3 linked regions of the Ovis aries genome follow. The protein of the gene in region 1 purifies or fractionates together with the protein of each later gene. This does not show direct contact. Links are inferred from orthologs where the notes say so. Each region holds a gene or a part of one and is shown on either strand. Other genes may lie near its edges. The genes, in order: TTC1, VAPB and VAPA.

The links.
Region 2: the proteins of TTC1 (region 1) and VAPB purify together in Homo sapiens (affinity purification with mass spectrometry; 4 studies listed by BioGRID and IntAct, counting the BioPlex papers as one, with this or other methods). This does not show direct contact. The link is inferred for Ovis aries from reciprocal best matches to the Homo sapiens genes TTC1 and VAPB.
Region 3: the proteins of TTC1 (region 1) and VAPA purify together in Homo sapiens (affinity purification with mass spectrometry; 5 studies listed by BioGRID and IntAct, counting the BioPlex papers as one, with this or other methods). This does not show direct contact. The link is inferred for Ovis aries from reciprocal best matches to the Homo sapiens genes TTC1 and VAPA.

What each region holds. Positions count from the first base shown.
Region 1 is NC_056058.1:69,207,118-69,210,768, forward strand, and holds part of TTC1 (tetratricopeptide repeat protein 1), read left to right. Parts: intron 1-2,037; coding exon 2,038-2,098; intron 2,099-3,152; coding exon 3,153-3,265; intron 3,266-3,651.
Region 2 is NC_056066.1:57,609,212-57,612,862, reverse strand, and holds part of VAPB (vesicle-associated membrane protein-associated protein B/C), read left to right. Parts: coding exon 1-11; intron 12-1,793; coding exon 1,794-1,970; intron 1,971-3,651. UniProt on the Homo sapiens protein: Endoplasmic reticulum (ER)-anchored protein that mediates the formation of contact sites between the ER and endosomes via interaction with FFAT motif-containing proteins such as STARD3 or WDR44.
Region 3 is NC_056076.1:42,436,327-42,439,977, reverse strand, and holds part of VAPA (vesicle-associated membrane protein-associated protein A), read right to left. Parts: intron 2,128-3,651; coding exon 1,993-2,127; intron 1-1,992. UniProt on the Homo sapiens protein: Endoplasmic reticulum (ER)-anchored protein that mediates the formation of contact sites between the ER and endosomes via interaction with FFAT motif-containing proteins such as STARD3 or WDR44.

The sequences.
Region 1 (3,651 bases):
GTCTATTTGGGATTGAAATAACTTTTAACTGGATTCATTATGGGGTTTTCTTTGCTTCCAGCATAGAATTCCCTTTCTTATATGGAGGAAACTCCCCTTGTTGAGTGCTGGTCAGTCCCCCTGTTCACTCTGTTCACTTGACAGCCAAGGCATGTGACTATGCTTGGCTCATACCAAAACTTTAAATCTAAATTAGGACAAAAAAGGGGGAATGGTTAGGGTCTGTTGGCTGTTATTACAGCCCTATCTTGGCGAGACTCTTCTCCTAGAAGACACATCAATATTTTTTAGCTTTTTGACTTCAGAATTGCCTTGAGTCCTGTCTGTCTTATAAGTCCATATTTTAGGCCTCCCCATGATTGTGTGAGCCCCATGGTAGCTTTCCAGTAAACTTAAGCCCTTAAAAAAATTTTTTTTTCTTTTTTGCCCGAGATAGACAGTCCTTTTGCTTGCCTCCAGAAATCCTAACCGGGCTTCCCAAATGACTCAGTGGTAAAAAAAAAAAATAATAATCTGCCTGCCAGTACAGGGAGACGTGAGTTTGATCCCTGGGTCGGGAAGATTTCCAGGAGGAGAAAGTGGCAACCCACCCCAGTATCCTTGCCTGGGCAATACCATGAACAGAGGAGCCTGGCAGGCTGCTGTCCATGGGTTCACAAAAGAGTCAGACGTGACTTAGTGACTAAACAACAAAAAATCCTCACCAGTTCAACAGAGGATATTACAGTTCAGGCACCTTCCTCTGGGTGGTAGTAGGTAAATGTGGCCACATTTTTGTATTTTGATTGTCATCACCACTACCCATCTTATATTTTCCTGTATTCCCTTGGAATAGGCCTTCTTCAGATATGTTATATCCTAAAATGAATTATTATTGTCTGCTGAACATCTGGCCTATAATAGATGTCGTAAAAATTAGATTCTGTTTATACCTATTTCTTAGTTTCTTTATTGAGATTCATCAAGTGTTCTGTTTCTTTCAGAGTATCGTAATAAGGTATTTGCAAAGCACCCAGATCTCAGCAGCTCATTTACAGATCTTCTCCAGAAGCATTATATTTTTTAAATTTGGTTCAGGATGTTGCTTGTACTGTCGATGAAAAAGTCTGCTAATTTTGTGTTCTCCCATTGGAGTTTTTATTGAGTCAGAAACTTCAAGAATGAAGGAAGAGATTTTTGGAGATTCTCTTTTGTTTAAATGCTGTCAAAGGTGGCATGCTAGCTCTGCTTATGCCGGCCAACTTGCCAAGGTGTTCAGGGCTGAGAGCACATAGGGGCTCGGCACGTGTCTTTTTTGCCCCACAGACTAACATTCACTCTACCTTTGAGTCCCATGAGTGCCCTACCATCTGCATGAATTTCTGTTGATAGAAGAGGCTAGGAAAAGAGACTTCTGGGTTTCTCAAATTTCCCTGTGTTAGCCTGCTAACAGCATACCACCTGACCCTGCAAACAAGACTCATCCCCCATAGTACACTCTGCCAGCCTCTGTATGCCTGCTTATGACACAGAGTGCAGTTGTAGCTAAATAAGTATGACATTGTTTATTTTACAGAAAAATAATAGCTAATTTTTGAACCCTTATTCACCAGTGTATTGGAAGCTTTGCATACATATCACGTTAACCCATAAATCTATTAGCTTTAATTTTTATATGAAGAAATTAACACCCAGAAAGATCTGAAACTTGTCCAAGGTCATCTGCAATTAATAAGTAGCAGATCTAGAATTTTAATTTATAAAGGTAAGCATACCAGTGGGTCTATTAGTTTCATTTTTAGTAAGTGGAAATTACTGTTCCATGCAAAAGCCAGAAACAAAGAAAACCTGGGTTTTGTCTTTTTAGTGTCAAGAATTCACTTGATGTTTAGCCAGATGGTCGTGTGTTTTTTTTCTGTGTGTTTGAGATTTAGATAAAACTGACCCAGTTCTCAAAAGTCAAGCTGCTGGCTGTTGAATAGCCTAGTGTAATGAAAGCTGGCCTTTCTGTTCACTTATCATAATACTGTATTTATGTCATTCTCTGATCTTTTTCAGAGAAGGAGAGAAGAGAGCTCTAGACTAAAGGAGGAGGGAAATGAGCAGTTTAAGAAGGGAGGTAAGATGTGTTTTTCAGCGCTGATGCTGGCTGTCTTGACTCCTCATTCTTTTGTAGAGTCTGTGAAGAAACACTGAAGAATGTTTGGAAACAGCTAGCAGATCTGAACTGCTAACAGTACTGAAGAACAAAGCTCTCTGAGTTTTTGTTTTGGGAAACTAATCCAGAATGTTAAAAGGCTGTTTGCCGCATTGCTGTAAAAAGAGGGTCTCAGTTCCTCACTTAGTGACAGTGCTGTGAATACTGGCCCCGTGCGGCCTGTGCTGCCTCGAGAAGGGTTTTGCTTACACTTCAGTTGCTCTTTCAAGTTCCTTTTTCTATAGATGCCTTAACTAGAGAGATGGTCCTAATGCATTTCTTGTATTTGCTTAGGGATAATTGAGGTTCATTTTTATGATTTGGGGGAACTATCTGATCTTATTATCAAATTTGTCACGTCTCATTTTGCTTTGGATATCTAGGAGCAGTAACATCTTCCCTTTGTTACTTTTAGGTTAAAAAAAATTTTTTTTTCGTGTATCCTGATCTATCAATTGTCACTTCTTTTTTTAAGAGAACTAAAGATTCTTTGAAAGTTTTATCTCTTTATATTTTAATATTAAATATTTCAAACCTGAGAAAGGAGTGAGTAGGCAATTATCTTTTAGTATCCTAACTAATTCTGTATGTGGCAATGAATGTATGAGTTTATCACCATTTTCTCTCTAAGGTGTTTAGTCAACTAGTGGTTTCTAACATAGTTTCTTTTAGCTCTATAAAATGTCTCTCCAGACACTTCATGGAAGCATTTTTAGCCTGGTTGACTCCATGAAAGCAGAATATCTTTAATGAAAAATAGAGAGAGTTTTTTTCTTCATTCTGGGCTGTTAATTCCAGATTTTAGTCTCTCATCTGTCCAGTTTCCTAATCCCGTTTCAAAACTCTTTACTAAATTGATAAGCCAAGTGAAAGGTGAATGTATAGAATGGAAAGCTATACATCCTGAGGTCATTTGGAATACAGTAATATCAGGAATAAAATCATAACAACTTCTTATATTTTCCCTTATCCTCAGATTACATAGAAGCCGAAAGTTCTTATACTCGTGCCCTGCAGACGTGTCCCTCCTGTTTCCAGAAAGACCGGTCTGTTCTGTTTTCCAACAGAGCTGCAGCAAGGATGAAACAGGTATGTCTTGGACCCTGTCTTTTTCAGAAGCACATGAATTTGCACTTTTTTTGTAGGATAGCTTCTCCCCGGAAACAAGCATAGGGGCTTTAAAGTTGCTGCCTCTCTTTTCCTACACCTATATTTTGCTGATTTAAAGGGCGTGGGAAGGATAGAAGCATAATTTTGAAAAACTTAAGTCAGATTACTGTTCATATTCCTTATTAAAAAGTGGCTGAGTGAATACTTTCACAGAAGGAAGCCTGGCACAGTTTCTACCAAACCAGGGTAGGTTAATGAATCAAACAGCCAAGTAGTACATGTCCTAGCATAGCTCCAGCTGCTTACTCCAGGCCTCTGGAACTTTAGATAAGACTCAAAGGGACAGGAAGCCATGCTTGAAACTG
Region 2 (3,651 bases), on another chromosome or scaffold:
ATGATAAACCAGTAAGTATGTTTATAGTTAACAATAATTGAATGTTGCAAGCTGATACTTATTTGCATACCATCTCCTGCAAAACCAAGATTTAAGTTGGCAAATTATTTTCCTTCTTCTGATGTATGAAGAGAAAAATTCGCTGAAGTCAACAAATAAGTGGGCCTTTGTGAAATCTGCCTTTGAAAGATTCACAGAAAGAACTCATTGAAATTTTTTTTGCCTTTGAAAAGCACAACCTGTTGACTGTTGAAATGTCATAAATTCCGAAGAGCTTCTTTGACTTGGGCAAAGTTCTAGGTTGCTATTATATTTAACAGTGGGAAAGACGGTGAGCGCTCAGCTCCTCTTGTACAGTGCTGTCTGCAGGCTTCCCTGTCTGCATTTCTCCTGAGCACCAACTCTCCACCTCTTGAACCCCAGATTCTCTTCAGTCAAAATGTGCTTTTAGATGAGGATTTCTCACCCTTAGCCCTGCTGACTTTCGGGCCAGGAGTCCTTCGCTATGGTGCTGTCCTGTGCCTTGCAGGGTGTGTTGTGGCATCCTTGACCTCACCCCAGTAGCATCCCTGGTCGTGATGACCTGAAGCGTCTCTGGATGTTGCCAGGTATGCCCTTCCCGAGGCAGAGTCAGTTCCCGTTGAGAATCACCCTTTTTGCTGCCTGAGCACTGAGGGTAAGGAGTGACTCCCTCCCAGCTGCTGGCTCACTTTTCTCTGTGTGAAACCAAAGCATGAGCCCGGTTGGCATGAACCTCCCTTCACCCTAGTCAAAAAACTTAAACTGTGTTAACACAGTTTAAAACCCATGCAGAGTATTAAACCACCCTGGCTGTTAATAGCTGGTGGTGGGAATAGAAATGTTCAAACTCTCAACGTTATCCATAACAATCTCCAGGAATGCTGATGCTTTGTGTCAAAACTACTTAGCATTTTTTTTCTGCTCACTAATGGACCACCGTCACTATCCCATTTCTTCGAATGATTGGTGGTCTTCGTTCCTTTTTTCCCTTCCCTCTTCCCACAGCATGTTCTGTCAGTTGTGGATAGTTGAGGACTGTATTCTGGCCCCAGCTGTGCTCTTGGAGGTTAGCTCTGTGTGTTGAGGTCTTGCTTGCCAGGGCCTCACTCCTCTCCCCTGGGAGACTAAGGGTAGAGCTCGCTGTTCTCCGTTTGCTGCATGGACCCCCAAGGGCTTCCATGCTTCCCCGGCCCCCACATACTCACTCATCCCCAGTAGGTCTTCAGAGGGGATCACAGCGCAGTCGTGGCTGGGGAAGTGAGGAACACATTGCCTCCCCAGGATGAAATACCATAGACACTGAATTTGTTGCACCTTCATCCCATCGCTGCAGTTGTCTTAAGTTCAGGAGACAAATCACCCTCTGGGTTACGTCCCCTCTGGCCTTCTGCCCCCGCCCAGCCAGTTTGGGGGATGTTCGCGTCTTCATAGTGACTTGTGGCTGATGATTCCTGAGCTTGTGCAGCTATGCTCTGCTGATTTTTCATGGCAGGAATTTGATAGTGCAGTGCGCACAGCCCCTTTTCTCTTTCTTTGAAGTATTAGTCTCAGCCGGACTTCATTATTTGCCCTCATCCATAATTTCTGGAGCCCAGTTTTAGATTATGAAGATACTAGGTGATAAAGTGATCTGTTTTAAAAAAATGTGACATTGTACAGTTTGGATGAAACGCTACCCTGGGTGGTGTCTGCTGAGACCTACTTTACTTTGCATGAAGAAGTCCTTTAATACGTGGTTGGTGACACTTGGGCTTTCATTTATTTCTGAACAGCATGATGTAGAAATAAATAAAATTATACCCACAACTACATCAAAGACAGAAACACCAACGGTGTCTAAAGCTCTGAGTTCCTCCTTGGATGACACTGAAGTTAAGAAGGTGATGGAAGAGTGTAAGAGGCTGCAGAGCGAAGTCCAGAGGCTGCGGGAGGAGAACAAGCAGTTCAAGGTAATGGCATTTTGTTTCCTGATCGTCTTCAGGGAATTGGGGCTTTGCTACTATGGTCTTGGGTGAGGAGGTTGATGCAATTTGTGGAGTTGTCTTGTATTTGCACGTTTTTCCTCCAGGCTGAAGTTTCCTAAGGTTCTCAAAACAATCCCTGGACACATGCCTACGTGCATCCCAAAGTAAGAACCAGTGTCCCTTGAGCAGTATTTTTTCAACTATTTAAACTCCTGTCTCCTCATAAAATGACAACAGACAAATAAAAAATCCATTAGTGTAAATTGAAATTAAAAAAACAACAATGGTTATCTTGAGTTCACATTTTCAAGCCCCTTTTCCATCCCCATTGGATGAGAATCTTTTTGAAGAGAGTAAAGACTGACGTGTATTCTGTTTTAAGGCAATCATCATTCTGATTTTTGAATATCCTAAATAGGTCTAGCAGTGGGGTCTCATCCTCTATCAGTATGGTCCGGAGACTGGAGCTGGGATGCTGTCACATCCATGGGGGAGATTACAGGGAACCAGGGGCTCCAGCTTGTGGCCCTGGACCTGGCGAGTGGCCTGGCGCTGGGGGGTGAGGTCGCACTGGTGCTGGAGCGAGGCAGGTGTGCTCCTCTTGGCTTTGGAGGCCTGCGGTAGTGTGGAAATGACCAGCCAAACTTGGACTCACTGTGTAACTTTGTCCATCACAGCGGCTTCTGGCCTCTGTTTGCAAGACCCTGTTAAGGCCCTTCCAGTGTTGAAAGTATGCCTTTCATACACAGGGTTAAAGAGAGTGTTTCTGAACATCTGATTGTAGGATCTTTTGTTGCAGCTTAAGTCTTGAGGCTGATCTGTTCTTTTCATCTTGATCATGTCCCCAGCCACCATAGACTGTCACTCCCTGACTGCGTAGCACCAGGTACACACCATAAATTCACTGCAGGTGACTCTTCCTTCTGTTACTCTGATGAGGTAGGAGACATGGGGGGCCAACGGGGTTTAGAAAGTGGCATCCTTGTCTTTCTCTGCAGTAATCATGCTTTGCCTCATTCAGTGACTGCTGTTGGTATGGAGTAAATTATGAGGCTGACACTCTACTTTTGGCTAAAAGTCTAAGATACGCCTAAAGCTTCTTCTTGAATGTATTTCTCTTCTTTGCCATTTAAAGTGATAAATAGGTGGAAATAGCTTCTATATAAACCCAATAAAATAAATGCTGTACTTTGCTGTGCCCATTTTTTTTTTTTTTGAAGTTAATCGAATAGCACCAGTCATTTATCAGCATGCAGCAATATTGGCCATGCCCCTCAAGCAAAGTGTCTTTAAAATATTATCAGACCAGTCTTGACATTAGAAGATTCTTTATCTTGCCAAACAAGGATTTCTTGTTTTGTGTTGTTTCATACTTTCATTTGGCCACACATTTGCTAAGACCCTCCTGTGTGCCCAGCACTGTGGGATACAGACGTGGGTGGTCCCTGCCCTTAAAATAAGCCCCAGGGTAGCCGGGGAGACACAAATACTGAACCAGTCCCACAGAGGTGGCCATGAGTGTTGTGAGGGGTGGGCTTAAGGTGCTGGCTGCCTCTTGTCATCAGATCTGTCAGACACTTGATTAGTGTGAACGAACTGAAGGAGAAGAGAAGAAAGTGCAGCTGTTGTGGAGGGTGTCAGGGGTGGATTGAGGGTAATTAGAACA
Region 3 (3,651 bases), on another chromosome or scaffold:
ATTCTTTCATATGCATGTTTTATAAACTCAGCATACATGTAACTTTTAAATCTTTCTTTATTCATTTATATGTACATCTTTTAAGTGTCATTCTAAACGACATGATGTCACTAAATACTATTCTGTGCCTTACCTAAGTTACTTAAACATTTCACTCTTATTAACATCTGATGGGAAGCTACCACTCTGGGATTTTAAATACCACGTCAACTAACAGCATCTCACAGTGACAGAATGAGATCTTTTAAGTGAAAATTTTCCTTAATATAGTTATATTGCCTTTATAAGGAAAAGGAAAAGAAATGTCATGACCAATCTGTGGTGCATACACGTTAAGACTAGGATGCACAGGATAACAGTGAAGCCTAACACTTGTCAGAAGTGAGCCCAACAGGTCATGAGATGGTCACACTGAGTGAGTGCATACACACCCTGTGCTCACAAGCATTCAGGTCCCTGCAAACCAGTTGGCACACACAGCAGGGGCAAGGAAATCCAATTTACTCATCAACTACTTTATAGTGGAAGCATACAGAACCTAACTCGGGGTGGCTAAAGAAGGGCTGAGTGGGGGCGTCACTGGTGCAGGACAAGCTGGAGACCCCAAGGCTGCTGGGACCTAACTACAGGCTCCACTGCATGGTCCCTCCTCCAAAGTTGCTTCAGACGCTTCCCAAAGAGGAGACAGGTTCTTCTAAGAGCCATGGACACCAACTGGAGGCATTCAACAAGCTGTGACACCGAGCAGTCAAGGAGCAGTGACGCTGCGCACATCTAACACGGCAACTCGGAAGAGACTCGGCAGTCAAGGCCACGCTGCCCTGCTCCACATGACTCAGCCTATCAGCAGCAAGCCCCTCCACCTAGGAGATGAGTTTACTGCTGTACTTTTTAGAAAGCCTCCTTTAGAATTTCAGTTCCAATACTCTGAATTATTCCCTTTAGGGATAATTAGAAAAAGCAAGGGCTTAGGGGCTGCCAGAAAAGGAAAGGTGAGATAAAAGGCAAATTTGGTTTCTGCACTGAAGCCCTGGGACGGACAGAGGAGGGAAAGAACGCACACCGGGGCAACACTCGTGGCTCTTGGGGGAGTGAGGGGTCCAGGGCATGTGCAGAGGGTAAAGGGCAAAGCCCAGAGAACCGCAGGAGGCTCAAATAAGACCTCAGCTGAGAGGAGGCGGTGTTTGAATATAAAGTGACCAAAGTATCAATACATCTGCAGTCTAAACTAAAATCACAAAACTGTTAGAAGTATCAGGCCTTTAGAGAAAGGAGTAGGTTTTTGAAGCCTTAGTGTCCATGTTCTCTGAAAGCTAGAGCTCCCCAGAAGCAGGACGTGTGAAAGAGAGGCAGCCTACAGCATCCAGGACACCCCCAGGAGGTCAAGGTCATCGACAGTGACTCAATGGATGTTAGGTGCACACAAGCATACACACAGGCACACACACGGAGACACTAATAAACTCAAATGTGACCTCAGATCTGTAGGGCTCCTGCTACCATTCTCCCTGGGGGGCACAGACAATTAAAGACAGTGACTGTCAGCTGCATGGGACAGAAGATGTAAGGCAGAAATCTCATTGATCTTTCTTATGTATAAACATAAACACCTGCCTGGAGAGTGACATCCACCAGCTCCTCCCCCTTGACTGACACCTGCTGCCCCCGTCAGATTTTTCCCAGAAGATGCTCCCCAAACCTCTCAGTGACAGTGAAAAAGCCGCCCATTTCATAATAATGCTCCCATTTACACTGTTCTGCTCACGACTGGGATGTTATCGAGTGCTGTGTTTGCTGTTTAAACAGAAGAATTTGTATGCATGGTTTTTAAGTGACTGTGGTTCTGCTGTCATTTTAAACAGCTGAAATTTTCAGTTCTAGTTACTGCACATAAAACACTCACAATAAATACCTCGCACGTGCTCAGTGACTATGTCACCGTGATCAGTGACACTGGCAGACCCGTCTATCTGTCAGCTCCCTGAAACAAACCTTCTGCTTCTCCTGTTTGAACACACTGAAGCCCCTGGGCTCATTCTTCGCACTATAAGTGGTAGGTGCTGTGCCTGTGCTGTTGATGCTGCTCAGCGGAGCGACGGCCACGGCGGGCCCTGGAGGAGCGAGACCCTGAGGTGCAGGGGAAACACAGTCTCAGATTCACACCGAGCTCTGACCACTCCTGCGAGGGACTGGGGATGACTAACACAGAGATCATTAGGCTCTCAACATTCAACTTATTCTATAAAGATGTGTCACACATAAGAAATAGTAATAAATAATAGTTATGTTAGAGCAAAAACTACCTTTTTGAAGTTTTTTTTCTATGAATTAGCTACAATCATCTTGCATTACATTCACTAAACTAAATGTATAAACCTTATTAACCTTAGGCCAGCCTCATGGTGTCCTAGAATGAGGACCTTCTACCTGCATGGCTCCTAATTTTTGTTACTAATGAATACTTGTCAATACCTGAAGAACAAGCACTTCCATTTTCTTACCTTTGAAAACACTCGAATAATGTTTAAATTAAATGAATTTTTTCAAGGGTTCAAAAATTACAATAATTTATACACTTCTGTATTCAGCACAGACACCCCTCCCACAAACACAAACATGCGCACACACCCCCCTACCTACCTCCCAGGATCAAGACACAGACACACAGAACATTCTAGTACACCACTGTATCTCCACAGTTCTCTATCTTCTCAAATTCCTTTAACACACTTAAAGATAATACCATAAAAAATGTTGTAGCAGATCAAATAATACTTACTGATATCCAGGTCACTAAACATAACTATGATAAGACCTCTCCATCTTATCTGATAATGCACTGCTGTCAATCTGTTCTTTATCTCAACAGAAAATAATGCACACGTAATCACAGAAAATCTTTATACACAGGACCCCTAAGGTTCCCTTTCTTGACTGCCCTTCATTCTTCATTACGATAAGTATTTTTTCCTTGAAAATAACATTATATCATAAAGCAAAAGTCATTAACAGATGTTAAATGGAGGGCTTATAAATGAAATGTAATACTTTTTTAAAATTTGGAAAATGTCAAGTAGAGTTGGTGGCCTAAAAAAAACACAAAAAAATTTTATTTCAACAGAATTGAGTAAGTGATCAAATACCATTACTAACAAGTTAATTTGAAACCACACTCATTCTAAAAAAACCACGAACACTAACTGGACGTCAGATTTCATAATACAGAGATAATCGTAACTAACAAGAGTTAATAACTCAGAGAACTGCGCTTGCCATGAACTTACTAAAACGCACCAACAACATGCTCACAGCCCCGAGGACTGGGGGCCACAAGTCTCAGTACCTAAAGGCAGAGCTGCCCAGAAAGTGTTAGTAACAGGACCTCTTTTCATTCTAAAATGAAAGGTTTCTTCGACTCCTAGGCCATTCTATGTACGATCCAAATCAGAGACCTATTTCCCAAAAAGAAGCCCATATTCTAATGATGGTTCAAATACATTATGACTGTTTCATCACAAAAATGACTTCCTTAAACGATAAACAACAACAAAAAAAAAATGGACTCAACCACTATACTAGCACCTTTCCTACAAGATAACCAACACCTTCATTTTCTTAGTTATATATTTGTCATCAAGGTTCTAAAATCCC